2 linked regions of the Yarrowia lipolytica genome follow. The protein of the gene in region 1 interacts with the protein of each later gene in a biochemical or structural test. Links are inferred from orthologs where the notes say so. Each region holds a gene or a part of one and is shown on either strand. Other genes may lie near its edges.

Region 1 (4,988 bases):
ACTGTTTCATTGTGGAAAATGTTTCTTTGGATGATTTTTTTTCTGAATATCAACCGACTTTCGGTCTTGGCGTGACTGTACAGGTAGTACTGCTGGCCTGGCCACCAGCATGACCTCTCAATAGTCTAGACACTGGCCACTGAAGGTGCTACAACTACAAGTATCTGACACTTCACCACTCAATCCCTAGACACGCCACAACCGAGCCATTCTACAACACGAGGGTTCTGAAAGATATCGCAGTGGCCTCCATAGTATAGCTCTCTAGGAAGAGGCTGTCTTAGCGCGGTCGAGGAGTGTGCCATTGAACTGGGCCGTGGGGATGATACCATTAGAACAGACTAGAGTGCCTTGGACCAATAGAACAGCCGTGGCTTGTCTTCCGTGACCCATAATATGCTAGTATAGTACAAACAATTTCTAGACTAGATAGCCAGGTATATCCCCATTGTCCTACAATCTTGAGCCGAGGGCCAATAAAAAGCTACAAAGAGGAGCAGGGTTTTGGTTAAATGATTGGAAATATCTGGAGCTCCCGAATGGTATTAAAATCTACGTGGCTGGAGTCTTTCATGTGCTCTTGGAGTGAATTTTGAGCTAGAGAGTCGTATAGTTAGATTAATGGTTAAGGGAAAAGCCAGCTGGGGGCCCAAATTCGATGATCTAAATTCGCCAGGGATATAATAAATTTCTAACCAGAAAGAGGACAATGAGAGATTGTCAATAATGCAACTTTTGAAAAGTATTTCCATACAATAATTCATTTTATTGCTGTATGTCGAATGATGAAGACTCAGCCTAATACTTAGACTTTGTTTAGACAGAATTTGGAATCATTCGAACAACCGAGGAAGGTACGTGAATAACGAAAATTCCGCGAATGGGTTTGGAAATGCTCATATATCACAATATTCTAGGTTACAGAACATTCAACTTCTCTTCGTGAAGTTATAGCACACCCTTGTCTCTGGTCTGGTATTAGCACACAGCACCAAAACACTCTGGTGAGGACAAACACTGTATAATCTGCTCAATTGGTTCAATACTGCACATATCTGTGTCCCCAAGGTAACCCACGACACGATACTACAGTATTATTTGTATCAGTTGAATCCTAGGTTGAATGAACTCCTATAGGCTGTTATTTTCCATCGCCCATTGTCAAGTCAAAAGTGCGCATCTTTGATGTACTTATAGCCATGATCCCTATGTGTACACTGCTAACCGCCCTTATGAGTGATGCGACTAAGCCGCAAGAACCCGACACAAGAATATATATATATATATATATTAATCAGCTTAATTTCCCGTAATTTTCTCGATTTTATCCGTATTTTGTGTCTTTTTTCCTACTGTTCTTCCACCCGTCTATGCTCAACTGTGATGCGGCTCGGTGGCGAAATTTCATATATCATTTTAACATCAAATTACAATGCCGTAGAAGCAGCTGAGACAAATTGAAAAACGGGATGGAGTTCCGAAATACACCACAAGACCGAAAAAATCGGTTTAAAATGTTCTTCTGTCCTTTCCACCGCGTCCCGGAGATATCGGAGTTAATCAGTGCCCAAATAGGCACTGTAAGCTTAAAGTGACCGATCCAAATTTCAGTTGGGAACTTTTCTTATCGTGCAGTGCATCTCAGCATCTCAAGCCCGCTGCACACCTCTCCGACACAAGACCATGACAGTATCCGGCGACCTTTCCAGCGAAGACGGCGGCGGATTTGTGGTCAGCGACGCCAGTCCAGCCCCCGAAGCGCCCAAGAAGGAAACAAAACTGCCGACGTTCAAGCGGAAGCCGAGGACCGCTGCAACTAACAAGGCCCAGCTCAAGGAGTTCGATGACGAGGGTAATGAGGTGGTTCAGGACCCATCCAAGACCAGATCTGCTTCAAGTCAGGAGCCGGCTGCCGCGCCTAAGAGACGTGGCCGTTCCAGAGCCGTTATTGATGACAATAGCGAGGCTTCTTCGTCGTCGTCGCTCGCTACACGAGCTAAAGTCGCCACCCGATCCCGAGCCACAAAGCCAAAGGCGACACGCAAGCGGGCAATAGTGGTGAGTGACGACTCTTCCGGTGATGAGTATAAGGCCAGCGATGAGTCTGATCGAGAACAGGCCGTGGAAGATGGAGGGTTTATGATTGCGGATGATCTGGAGGAGGGCGAAGAAGAGAAACCCAAAAAGAGAAGAGCTCCAGCTAAAAAGAAAGCCAAGAAGGACGACTACGATGAGCTGGATGAAGACGGAAACAAAAAACCCCGGTATCTCAAATACTACGACCGGACTACCAAGGCTTTGTTTGAACAGCATCCTGAGTTGGAGAACACCTTTATTGATCTCGACAATAAACCGAGGATCCAGGTTGAAAAGGCCGAACAGCCAAAGTCTATGGCTGTAACTCTGCTGCCGTTTCAACAAGAGGGTCTCAACTGGCTTTTGAAGCAGGAGGAGGGAGAATACAAGGGCGGTATTCTTGCTGATGAAATGGGAATGGGTAAAACTATCCAGACGATTGCCTTGATCATCGCCTCGGGAGTCAAGCCCAACCTCATTGTCGCCCCTACCGTTGCTCTGATGCAATGGGCCAATGAAATTAACGACCATTCTGCGGGCTCTCTCAAAGTGGCTGTTTACCATGGAGCCAACAAAGATTCATTCTCTGTGAAAGATCTGGAGGGCTACGACTGTGTGATGACGACCTATGCGGTTCTAGAGAGCGTTTACCGACGTCAACAGAGCGGTTTTGTGCGCAAGGGAGTCGAGGGAAAGCAGTACAAAAAGTCTCCTTTGCATCAAGTTCAATGGGGAAGAGTTGTGCTAGATGAGGCTCATAATATCAAGGATCGGGCAAGTAACACCGCCAGAGCCGCCTTCAATCTCAATACCGAGAAACGGCTTTGTCTCTCTGGCACTCCTCTTCAGAACCGAATCGGTGAAATGTTTTCGCTGATTCGGTTCCTCGGAATCAAACCGTTCTGCGAGTATTTTTGCAAAAAATGCCCCTGCCGATCTCATGACTGGAGCTTTGTCAACAACCGAACATGTGTCACGTGCGGGCATCGACCCATGGACCACACAAACTACTTCAACCACGTGCTCTTGAAACATATCCAGAAGGGAGGTATCAGCAAAGAAGGCAAGGAGAGCTTCGGCAACATCCAGAAACTGCTCAAGCACATTATGCTGCGTCGAACCAAGGTCGAGAGAGCAGATGATCTCGGTCTACCCCCTAGAATCGTCACTATTCGACGGGACTTTTTTAACGAGGAGGAGAAAGACCTCTACCAGAGTATCTACTCGGACGTGAACCGGAAATTCAACACCTATGTGGCACAGGGAGTGGTTCTCAACAACTATGCCAACATTTTCTCTCTGATTACTCGAATGAGACAGATTGCAGATCATCCTGATTTGGTTCTGAGACGTGCCAACCAGGGAGAAGGAGGATACATTGACAATGCTATCATTTGCCAGCTATGCGACGATGAGGCCGAAGAACCCATCAAGTCCAAGTGTCACCACACGTTCTGTCGAGTGTGTATCAAGGACTACTGTTCTGGAGCCTCTGACTGTCCCGTCTGTCATATCAACCTGACTATCGATTTGAATGCCCCCGCTATTGAACAGGAGACCAACTCCAAGGAGAAAACATCGATTGTTCAGCGAATCAACATGACTGGTGGCTGGCGATCTTCCACAAAGATTGAGGCATTGGTCGAGGAGCTATACAAGCTGCGAAGCGACAGACAGACCATCAAAAGCATTGTTTTTAGCCAGTTCACATCTATGCTGGATTTGGTGGAGTGGCGGCTTCGACGAGCAGGGTTCCAAACCGTCAAGCTCCAGGGTAACATGTCCCCTACCCAGCGACAAAACTCCATCAAATACTTCATGGAGAACCCACAGGTGGAGGTTTTTCTGGTGTCTCTCAAGGCCGGAGGAGTGGCTCTGAACCTATGCGAGGCATCTCAGGTGTTCATCCTGGACCCCTGGTGGAACCCTTCGGTGGAGTGGCAGTCTGGAGACCGAGTCCATCGTATTGGACAGCATCGACCTGTTAAGATTACTCGGTTTGCGATCGAAGACTCCATCGAGTCGCGTATCATTGAGCTTCAAGAGAAGAAGGCCAGTATGATTCATGCGACTCTGGGACAAGATGACGGAGCCATCAACCGGCTAACCCCTGCTGATATGCAGTTTCTTTTCACTAACTAGAAGTATAGACATGATAGATGTTACGTATGCTCTATGGAAGTCTGTAGGTCATGTAGAAGTGACAGCGCCTGTCAACCGAAAGACAACTTCCTATGGAGCATTTGAGCCGTCAAAGATTCTGTATTATCAACTGGATGTCAACCTTTCTATAAACCATGGAATAACCGTCAACAAACACCTCTGTGCAATCTTGCGATGCTCGATCTTGGAGAAGCACGCCAACACCGTGTGCATTCATGGAGTCTACACATGCTGCGATATTTGGGGACGAAAAAGAACTTGTGGTGTCAGAAGAAGGAGGATGATGATGGTTTGAGTCCTGTAGTGTCTGGAGTGTTATCTCCATATCCAGAGAACAGTATATGAGCTGCCAAGTCTTACCACTGTCCAGAAGCCAGGCCATGAGGAAGCCAGAGCCGTAGAAAGCCTCGAACATTGAGAACTGGGAAAATGGGCTATGGGCCGTCAACACGTCCACAGCGTGCCATCTACCGGCACCAACATCAACTCTTTAGTTTGGCAGTCTCACTTCTAAGGAGTAGGACTACGATACGAGGTACGTATGGCTAGGGTCTGTCAGAACGTCAGAACTGATATTGACCCGTTGCGAAATCGAAAAACTGTGAGAAAAGTGCAAAATCGAAAAACGCAAAATCGAGCTGCACACCAACTAATTATCGTGCTAATTATACCGATGAGACCTGTTAGAAGCACCGGATTAATCGTAGAAGAGAGAACAAGCGTACGGTCAAGAGGACGAGAAAGAACAG
Region 2 (4,146 bases), on another chromosome or scaffold:
AGAGAGGTTGGTGACTCAACATCATACCCCAAAACTGTATGTTCCAGCCCTTCCACAGCGAAACCGATAGTACCATCGGAGTCTCTACCATCTCTCTTACGTACACTACCTCCTCTCAGTGCGTCTACTCCTTTCTACAGGGGCTCAAAGCCGCATTCAAGTTTTCACCCACGAGACTTTTCTGGTCCCGTAAAAAGCCCCCTACAACTCTCAGAGCCAACGGTTGCGGCCATATCCCGGTGAAAATACGGCTTCCCGTCCGATCAGCCATAGTCAAGGCACCAGAGAAGCCCAGTTTAGTATTGTAGTGGGAGACCATACGGAGAATCCTGGGGTGCCTGCAATCTTTTTTAGTCGCCCAAAGCAGCTTTTTTTTTTTTTTTTTTTTCATCAGACGAACGCTTATGCCAGGGAACGGAAACGCCTATGTCAGAGGAACACCTACAGTATGTACTGTCTCCAGCTGGTTTGAGAACAATGCACTTGAATCGTTTCAATATCTCATTATACAAACATTTTGTGGAAAACAACACCGGCACATGCTAGACGACATCACTCATCCTGCCAATCAACTTGATACCGTCGCCCACCTTGCAATTCTCCGTCACTCCCGGGTCTCCATAGACCTCAATCTTCTGCAACAGGGGACAGTTTTCCGCCAACAACTCCACACACTCGTCGTTGATACCCTTGCAGAAGCCCAGGTCAATGTCCTGCAGCCCCGGGAGACTCTTACACACCGTCTTCACCGTGTCGACCCCAATCTCTGCCCACGAGTTGACGCTGATGCTCTTGAGCGTCGGTCCCGAGTTGTCCACAAGCACTCTGAACGAATCGTCACCCAGAGCAATGCACTTGCGCATGTGGATTTCACTGAGACCGGGGTTTTCCCACTGGTAGAACAGTGATGCCACTCCGTTGTCGGTCAGCTGGTCCACATGACTCAGAGACAAGGACTCTAGAGCTGTACATGCCCGCAGAGTGCCTAGAGTCTTGTCTGTGAGCGCCGAACAACCATCGAGGTTGATTGACTTGAGTTGGGGACCGCAAGTAGATACCAGGCCACTGATGAGATCATCGGAAACAAGTGACTCGTCTTGAGGATAACTAATCTCAATTTCCTTGAGGTTTCCCAGGGTTAGAGCTGCCATTTCGTATCCCATGGGGTCGGTGCATCCCTCGAGTCTGCTCAGCACCAACTTTTCCAGCTTGGGGCACTTTTCACACATGTACACAATGTTTTCCGAGGAGATTCGGTGGCTGTTTTTGATAGTGAGCTCCTTGAGACCGCCTCCTACCATGTCGAAGAAGACGTTCCAAGTGTCTCCAGAAATAAGAAACGCTCCATCGATGTACAGAGAGGCCAGCGACTTGAGCTTTTCGCCCAGATAGAGCAGGTCTTCCTTTCGCAGCCGCCCACACATGCCCAGAACCAACTCCTCCAGATTGGGACAGAAGGAGCCAATCATTCGGAGTGATTCCGAGTCGATATTGGAGCAGTCCCAGAACTCGAGGTTTTTGAGCTGGGTGTCGAAAAAGAACTTCATGGTTTCCGAGTCCAGTCGACGGTTTCTCGATAAGATGCGGCTGATTTTGTTCTTGTTTTCGCCTCCGATATCTCCTAGAGCCTCCACATGGTCAATATGGGTGGTGATCAGAGTGATACACATGTCCTGGAGCTTGGGCACTCGGATGTACTGTTTCTGGTCGAGAAGCGCCTCAGCCTGTTTTTTCCGCAGCTTTCGCAAGTTGTGGTCCCGCTTCTTGGCCTCCTTTTCCTTCTTCACCTCCTCCATGGTGCAGTCGTAGCACAGCAGCTTGAGGGCGTCGTTCTTGTGGTTGCGGGAGAAGGCGGTCACCACAAACAAGACGCCGCAAACCGCACACGTGTCCTTCTGGCCCGGGTTCTTGACTCCCTTGATCTCCTCCTCAGATGTCATGTCCGGATCGTCTTCGGACTCGTCCCAGTTGCGTTTTCGGCGAGCCAGATTGCGGATGCGAACGATATCTGGGTCGTCTTCGTCGGCACTGGACCCGGACGAGTCGTCCGTGTTATTGTCCGACAGCTCGATCGCCGTCTGAGACGTTTGGCCCTGATCTCCGACCTCCAGACCCACCTCGTCAGGTGGCTCGGAAGACTCTCGTCGTCGCGTGATTCCCTGCTCCTTGAGAAACTCCGTCAGCGCGGAGTTGGGGCCACGCACCTCGCCCGAGCCCGTCACAGCCTGTCTGTGTCTGTAGTGGCGCATGTGTCGATGGGTGGCGTGGTTCTGTTTTTTTTGCCAAGTTTCGCCTCCCATCACCAACCTGTAAATTGGTGCAGATGAGGTGCATGACAAACGCACGCCACCAAAATCAGACATATACGAACGCAACAACGGCGGCGATTATCGATGAGGCGATAGGAGGGAAACGGGAGACCACATTACGGGATTCTACAGGGATCCGGTAACTTATAGCATGCAATAACACGTGTTGCTGTACATACCTTCAAAGACACAACTGCGGTTGATGAAGTCGATTTCACGGACTCTCTAAGATGAGGAGGTTTGAGACCATGAGGAGATTTGAGACCATGAGGAGATTGCTCTTCACCATGTTGTTGAATGAACTCGACAATCTGTCACTTTACTCAGACCCAGTCCGTTATGTCACACTCATGGTGTTGAAACCAGAGCCGCAACAAACAAACACCAGATTGACCTTGTACACCAGATCTTGGATAGCTTGGAAGCAAAGTTCTAGTCTGGCCCTCATGTATCATCCCTTCCAAGATGGTAACGAAAACCCCTCCCGCTTCTCCCACTTCTCCCACTTGTTGCTCCTGCCTCTATCCTGACTTGACCAACCTTGCAACCCATCACCAAGAGTGAATCCCATCTTTTTCAACAGACTGTCGTAACCACTACAAACAAGCATCCAGTAATACGCGCTAACAATTGCTTAACTCTGCCATCAACTAGTTTAGCACCGGAACCGTATCTGCTGAACACCAATCAACCGCGACATACCTACCATACTCATATGAACAAGTACACACATAGACTTGTTTCCCACAGAAGAAAACAAATATTCAAAAGGCGTGACTCTACAGAAACGGCTCCAGTCACGAGACCTCTCTCCTCTCTCCGCCCTCCCCCCTTCCGATGTAACGCTGGTGCGATGGTTCCGCTAGCACCAACTTTACTGCGATGCGGGGTTGGCAGATTCTGGGCGGAAAAAAGCAAAAGCCGGCGACAAAAGTGGCTTGAGGGGCAATACGACGTATTTTTTGTGAGTATTTTCAAGTCTTGACTGCGCATTTCCTGTTTGCATGCTCGGGGAAGTGTGCTGAAACAAGTTGCCCAGCATGGTTTACAGGTCTAAATCTTGAGGGTATGGCTGAGTAAGTGCTCGAGCCTGTGGAAGTGTGGATATTTTCCAAAGTGAAACCTGGCTAATTGGAAAACAATATTATTCTCATGAAAGGCCCTTTACTGGCCTGTCAAAGGTTGGCGTTACTTTTTCAGCCAGAGACGTGGTTGCAACCGAGTGTATGGGTGCGTTCCACAGGTCCCGGAGATGGATTAAGGGGAAAAGAACCGATATGAAAACGTTTGGCAAAGTTGAAAAATGCCTCCGACGTGCAATTCATTCAATGCTTGTACGGTACCTCCTCCATACAAGAGCCTTCATCATACAGAGTCTGAGTGTCGACCGCCGTGCCTTGTACCTTGTTCCACCACCAATTACTAGAACAAGCCGAGCTACGAGGACTTGAGACACGTGCTTCAAACAGTATTGTCAGTCGACTAGCGATAAAACCAACGCTTCTACGTTTCTGATTGTGCGTCTTGTACAACGGGCGGCACTCTGATGGTTGTAACCTACACTGGGATTTAGTCCGTTTTACGCCCGAGAGCGTTTCATTGTGCAAAGAGGGGGAACTATATGGCATTGTTTTGCAGAGTTTTTTGTCCTGAATGCGGTGAACTCATCAGAATAGCGTCTCCGTGGACATCATGCCTTCTACCGACAATGTAGCACCCCCAGAGACGTCATTTCCACTCCCGCAAATGTGATGCACTTTGAAACAACTCCTCCCTCATCGCAAACATGCACTCAATCTGCACTCAAATCGCCGTCTTTTGTGCAATTACCTCTCTC

Evidence for each region.
Region 2: the proteins of YALI1_F02047g (region 1) and YALI1_D26808g form a complex in vitro, tested with the Saccharomyces cerevisiae proteins (2 studies listed by BioGRID). The link is inferred for Yarrowia lipolytica from reciprocal best matches to the Saccharomyces cerevisiae genes RAD16 and RAD7.

The regions. Positions count from the first base shown.
Region 1 is NC_090775.1:201,413-206,400, reverse strand, and holds YALI1_F02047g (uncharacterized protein), read left to right. Parts: upstream 1-1,683; coding exon 1,684-4,218; downstream 4,219-4,988.
Region 2 is NC_090773.1:2,678,475-2,682,620, forward strand, and holds YALI1_D26808g (uncharacterized protein), read right to left. Parts: upstream 2,364-4,146; coding exon 543-2,363; downstream 1-542. UniProt on the Saccharomyces cerevisiae protein: Component of the global genome repair (GGR) complex which promotes global genome nucleotide excision repair (GG-NER) which removes DNA damage from nontranscribing DNA.